2 linked regions of the Mus musculus genome follow. Each later gene encodes a partner of the first gene's protein in a complex. Links are inferred from orthologs where the notes say so. Each region holds a gene or a part of one and is shown on either strand. Other genes may lie near its edges.

Region 1 (3,822 bases):
GAGTACCCTAGGACAAGGAAAGCCTTGAAGACCCTCGAGGCCTACAAGGGCCCCTGGCTAACCCAGATGCTGAAGCATCCAGGCCCTGGTGGTAGAGTCAGGCTTTACTTCTCTGAAGAGGACCCAGAATCCAAAGGGTCTCGCACAGAGCGGAGACCAGAGAGGTTGGAATGTACTGTCAAGGGAACCCATATAGAGCTCAAGACTGTCCTGGGAGCTAGTTATCAACCCCTCCCCCACCATGGGGTCTTTCTGATCTTGAGAGAACTGGGGGCCATAATATTTTTGGCCTGTATAGGGTAGCAGGCTAACACTCCCAATCACCAACAAGAGGCTGCAACAGGGTCACCCAGCATTGCTTATTTCAAGGAGGTCCCTAGAGCCCAGACCATGAGAGCAAATGTGATAGACAGGAGTCCAAATGACCACCTTAACAAAGTACATCCTGGGTGTCTGGTCCAGAGCACGCACACGCAGCACAAAGGCCCGCCAGGTCCTGTAGATGTCATTCATACCCAGTACAGAAGACCCCATAAGGTGAGGATGTTTTGTCCGCTCATAGTTGAGCATGCTGAAGAGAGTCTTGAGACGCTGGGTGAAATGCTGGGCCTGTGCCAGGGCCATAGAGGACACATTAGAAAGGGACCTGGCAGACTGTTCCCTGACCACCCCGATTTCTCAGAATAGACTCCTATAGCTCAGCCAGAGCTCCTCTAGAGCCAGAGTCTTAGAGGATCTATCTCACTAAGTCAATTGACTGTATGTGGGGCCTTCATCCAACCTGCCTCAACCTGTTCTCATCCTCTTCCAGGGGTAGTGCCTTCTAGAACATGCCCACTGGGCTAGAGTCAGGAGATACTCTAGATGCAGGAGGATACTCCACGCTTCTCCACTCCACTACCGCACATTCCCATCCCACGTTCCAGACAAAAGACCCTGGGGCATGGTGGGCCTATAGTCCTCTCGCTATCCCATTGCCCCAGATTGAGTACCCTAGGACAAGGAAAGCCTTGAAGACCCTCGAGGCCTACAAGGGCCCCTGGCTAACCCAGATGCTGAAGCATCCAGGCCCTGGTGGTAGAGTCAGGTTACTTTGCCCCCCCCCCTGGTTACTTTGCCCCCCCCCCCCCAGCATAGAGGCCATATAGTGCCGACCCTACCTGGCAGGGTCCCTGAGGGATCTCCAGGGTTTGTGTCCCAAGCTCTCTGGGTCTTGGGACCATCTCCCATCTCTAAGCCCTTTCCACATGCTGGGTTTTTAGACTTAGGAACAACAGGTTACTTAGCCTCCCTCAGAACTTCATGAGCCCTTACTTAAGTCAGAGTATAGACTCAACCATCAGTACAGGGGCCAAGTCCGGTCACCTGCTTCCTTCTGCCCAAAGCTCTGGTACCCATGCTATAACTCATGTTCACAATGGGCCGCAGGCCGTTGGGCTTGGGGATGAAGCGCAGTCTGCAGATGGGCATGGCTAGCCAGGTGTCCTGGTGATGCCTGACCTCCTCTTGTGACAGCTCCCGTAGCCGCACTCTCTCAAGGTGTTGCCTGTTACGGAGCGCACCGTGGAGTTATGACAGGAGCATGCAGGGAGTTCATGAGACATGTCCCATCAGGGTGGTTGGGAACTTGGAGCACTTGACACCCGACCATGCTATGGGGCTACATCTAGGACCAGAACAACCCACACAACCCACACACCCCATAGACCTGTCTGGACAGGGTTCATGACACGAAGCCTGGGTCGGCACCTGGGACATCTGGTCCCGTAGTCTGTCCTTGGTGTTTCCTTCTTGGGGGTCCCATTGGCCAGGATATTTTTGAAGCAATCCGCTGACTCTTATGGATATCTTGGCTTAGACACAGGTATGAAAGCAAAAAGTGTCCCTGCCTGCCCTCAGGAAGCCCTGTGCTGGTTGCTAAGGATCCCATAAGCACAATGGGTGGGTGATATATGATCCATAGCTAAGGCTGGACCTCAAGAAAGCTAACATGGAGCTGGGTGGTGGTGGCGCACACTTTTAATCCCAGCACCCAGGAGGCAGAGGCAGGTGGCTCTCTGTGAGTTTGAAGCCAGCCTGGTCTAGGGAACTAGTTTCAGGACAGCCAGGACCACACAAAGAAACCCTGTCTTGAAAAATAAAAACAAAACAAAACAAACAAACAAACAAAAATAGAAAGTTAACATGGTAGTCTGCTCTTTGCAGGCCTTGCCTAGCTGCTCCACTGCCCTCTCAGCTTGGCCTTCTGCTGAGACAACAAAACTCTAGCTCAATCAGCACAGAACCTCAGCCACTCAGAGCCCTGCCACTTCTCAGGGTGGACCCTTGTGGTTTCCCAGTGAGGAGACACTTCCTTTCCTTCAGGGGTAGACATGAGGTGGAATCCATCAGTTCCGCTCCCGTTTGATAAAAAAGCTCTCCTACCTTAAGGATCTTATAGATGGTACAGATCCAATTTATGATTTCACAGGCAATAAAGCAGGGACTCCATTCCATGGCTACAGGGAATCTATGCCCTCAAGGTCCATGCCCAGGCTAGCAGGTGCCACACACTGTGCACCGGTGCCTCTGCGTATGCACACAGGAGACACTGATACCTGAGGGATGCTGTGTGGTACCTGACTCCAATGCTCTGCAGCTTGCTCCACACACTCTTACGGTAGAAGAAGAGCCTGTTCTTCTGGAATGTGCTCTCTGTGATGTAAAAGAATGACCTAAGCAGCTGTACCACGTATGTGTCCATCAGCCAGAACAGGAACGTAGCCAGGATCCTCTCCCTCAGACGGTGCTCTGCAGCGGGGACACGGTCCTTCCCTGAAAGTAGTAGATACTCAACATTCCGTGACTCACCTCAGATCCACAATGTCTAGCATGGAAGCCATAGGTCCCCAAATTAATAAGCTAGTTTAACCTTTGTGTGTGTGCTTTCTTTATGCTGTAAACTAAAGTTCCCTGACAAAGCCATGTCTGGATCCTGCAGGCCGACTGACTACAGATGAAATGCTGCTGACTGACAGGGAAATGTTCTTGAGGCATCCTTCATCCCCCAGTAGCAGCCTCTCACTACCAACCTCTGTATCTGATGTAGCTCCACTGTGACGAACCGGTGATCCTTGTAGGCTAGATTGACTTAGCAAACCCTAGCTTCTATCAGCTCTAAATCAAATTATATCTTCAGATAGGGGATAAGGACATGGCTCAGTTGGTAAAGTGCTTGCTGGAGGGGCATGAAAACCGAGTTCAGTTGTCAGAACCCATGTTTTAAAAGCCAGGAGTGGTGACATGTGCCTGCAGTTCCAATACTATGGAGGCAAAGACAGATGAACTCTAACTGAATCAGCAAGCTCCAGGGGATTAAAGAAGACACGGAGTGTCAACCTCAGACCTCCGCACACATACACAGGCAAACCTCAGTGGCGGCTGGTACTATACTACCGGGTCACTGACTACACACACTCATTGCTACTGAGCAGTGCAGTTCAGAGATGTCTAGAACAAAGTAGAGAACAGGCTGCTCCTACTGCCATGCTGGACATGTGAGTTCCGTGCACCATAACAGCTGTATACACTCTGTGTATCTCCAGATACCACAGGGGCCTCTTTATCTAGGGAAAGGTGGGGTTACCAGAAGTGATGAATATGATGGGAACTTGGGAAGGAGAAGGGGGATCCCAGGAGGACGTACGTACAAGTCAGAAGACAGAATAAACAAAGAAAGGACGACACAGGGCTGAAGAGCTGGCTCAGTGGTCAAGAGCACTGGCTGCTGTCGCAGAGGTCCATGTGGTAGCTTACAACCTCCTGTAACTCTAGCTCCAGTCT
Region 2 (2,815 bases), on another chromosome or scaffold:
CTGTTCTTGAAGAAAAGAAGCCCATCTCCTCAGGAATCTACTTTCTAAGGCAGCCTTGATGGCCATTCAAACTTCACAGACTTTACAATGACATTTTGCGCAATTTCTGCTCTCTGACACATGCCAGTCTTTTTGCATGTATTTATATGCACTACCTAGCTCACTCTGACAGCTCTTCCTCTTGCCCCCAAACACATAATCAAGCTCCCTAAAGCCATGTGTATCCAGGGGATTGTCTAAGTCATTGCTAGAGTCACACGTTTCCTTTTCTCCATGGTGACTAGTACTACCTCCAGGTTGAAGTCTTTATTTTGGTATGCACAGCTCGTGGCATAGAAGTAATGCTAACAATGCTAATGTTTTATTTTTGCAATCGAAGGACAGAATTAATTGTATCCAATACTGAAAAAAACCAAGAAGACATATCTCCTACCAGACAGATTTCACTGGCTTGGTAAAGAAACATCCACAGGCTGGCGCACACCTTTAAGATAGTGTTCAAAGGCAGAGGCAGTTAGACCTGAGGTCCAGGGCAGCCAGCTCTACATAGAGACTCTGTCTAAAGAGAGAAAAAGAAAACTTCCAGGGTTGGGCATACTTGTTATCTCAGAACTCAAAATGTAGTGGTAGGACTGGAGAGAGGGGTGCTTCCCAGAGGACCTGTGTCTATCCCCTGCAGTCACAGAAAGACTAGCTATCAGTCTCTAGTCACCAGGGATCTGACTCCCTCTTCTGGTCTTGATGGTTACTGGCACATATAGGCATAGACACATGTCGGTAAAATACTAAAACACACATACATTTTTTTTTACTCTTTGAGGAATTCAGAATATTTTTTAAAGGGCCCACAATTAGACAGTAGTTTTCCAGGGAATGCTGACCTTTGTAGGAGTCTTTCACAGCCTTTTTCCCCCCAACACCCTATCGTCGATGGCACACAGTTCTATTGCTACAATGAGGGCTTACGAATGTTCTCAAGTGGCCTTGTACTACCAACGGTACTACCCTTCCCCCATCTCTTCCTCCAACAACACACAAAATGAACTTTCAGTTCACTATATCTTTAATAACCTGGCATGAAAAAAAGAAAGAAAAATATTGTTCCTTTTACAGGCGAGGCCCATCAGTATAGACTCATTCACGTGGTGAGTGAGATAGGATTCCAAACAGCATGGGAAGGCTTCAAGGCTTACAGATTGACGCGTTTGGTTGCTGATAATAGGCCGAGGCATGAGCAGCGTAAAAGATTAACGAGCCCTCAGAGGACAGGACGCGGTTGCTGGGTCATGAGCACCTTGAAGCGTTTCTTGATGGTGATTCGGTGTCTTGAATATTTGTCATCTGGGGAGAACCGAGCAGGATGGGCGGAGCAAGTCTGTTGTCCCATAGGGTCAAATTTCTGCTCAAGGAAAAATAAAAAATATCTCAATATGAGTGGTGTGATAGAAAGAAACAAGAAAATGGGTGACCTGAGGCCAGGAGATCGCGTGGTCAGAAAAAGAAGCCACTGCCTATCTACCACGTTTTGGCTCCGACATGGCTCCACTCAGTGGGCTGCGCAGGCCGGTTCCAACTGTTCCTCCCATCTAAATTTCTCGTCCTTTTGATATATAGCTGTTTCCTCCTCCCCTTACCTTCAGCGTATAAACGCGATCGCCCTGCTCGTTGAGGTAATATTGGAGAAACATAACTGCCCTCAGCAAAAAGACACACGTACTACCGCCAGCCGCGTTTACTCCGAGTGCGCCGCTTCAATCGCGTGCGCCAACAACCTTCCAGATTGGACGGAAGTCTCTCCAAGGCATCCTGGGAAATGTAGTCCATTTCTCCAGTCATATCCATGTGACCAGAAGGGGGCATAGTAGAGCAAGTCTTGCTTGGCCTTGGGTTCCAGCTAGCAGCAACCTTGCAAAGTTATTAAGATCCATGGAACTGCCCACTGTGTGCCAGCCACTTGCCAGGGATTAGGAAGTAGGGATGGATGTGGGTTGAATGTTGATGCATCATTCACTGTTGATATCAGTCCTATCTTTAATTTCAAATTGCACACCCATTTCAGAGGCACCACTTTTCGAATTCCTGGAGAAACAAGGACTCAAGGATTCTCAACCTCCTATATCCTAGGGAAGAAGTTAAGATTTTTTTTTTTGAACCCTACTTTTTACATCCGGTTTCCCGCCCAATTTCAGAGTATTGGCGGCAAAGAGTGCATGATGGGTATTCGATATTATGCAAAGCGAACAGAACGGAAAGGTTTTCTTGTGAACCGGTGGATTTTGTTTTAGGGATCGAACCAAGATTCAAACTCGGGACCTGACCACAAGTTCAGCTCTTTCTTATATGGTGAGTAGCAGATAATAGCAAGTAAGGTACGCCTTCTCGGGGTATTTCCAGTTTTTAAAAGACTGAAAAGTCTCATAAGATTCTAGTTTAAGGTGGCGCACGCCTTTAATCCCAGCACTCGGGAGGCGGAGGCAGGAGGATTTCTGAGTTCGAGGCCAGCCTGGTCTACAGAGTGAGTTCCAGGACAGCCAGGGCTATACAGAGAAACCCTGTCTCAAAAAGAAAAAAAAAAAAAAAAAGAATTAAAAACTAAAACCAAGATATTGCAAAATGATCATTGCAGCACTACTTATAGTGGCAAAAATATAGTAGCATACTAAACTTGTAGCCAGAAAAATCGTAAAGTTTTTTTTTTTTTTTTTAAGTAGTGACTATAGACAGTTCGACTGCCGTTTTCATGAGATACATTAAAAAAACCCGGGAGCTTAACCCGTGCTTGTAACCCCAGAAGTCCAGAGGCTGAAACGGAAGG

Evidence for each region.
Region 2: Tert (region 1) and Nop10 share a complex: the UniProt entries of both Homo sapiens proteins name them as parts of the telomerase holoenzyme complex. The link is inferred for Mus musculus from reciprocal best matches to the Homo sapiens genes TERT and NOP10.

Annotation. Positions count from the first base shown.
Region 1 is NC_000079.6:73,633,144-73,636,965, reverse strand, and holds part of Tert (telomerase reverse transcriptase), read right to left. Parts: intron 2,815-3,822; coding exon 2,619-2,814; intron 1,547-2,618; coding exon 1,366-1,546; intron 610-1,365; coding exon 430-609; intron 1-429. UniProt on the Homo sapiens protein: Telomerase is a ribonucleoprotein enzyme essential for the replication of chromosome termini in most eukaryotes. Active in progenitor and cancer cells. Inactive, or very low activity, in normal somatic cells.
Region 2 is NC_000068.7:112,260,897-112,263,711, reverse strand, and holds Nop10 (H/ACA ribonucleoprotein complex subunit 3), read right to left. Parts: upstream 1,787-2,815; 5' UTR 1,689-1,786; coding exon 1,635-1,688; intron 1,400-1,634; coding exon 1,259-1,399; 3' UTR 814-1,258; downstream 1-813. UniProt on the Homo sapiens protein: Required for ribosome biogenesis and telomere maintenance. Part of the H/ACA small nucleolar ribonucleoprotein (H/ACA snoRNP) complex, which catalyzes pseudouridylation of rRNA.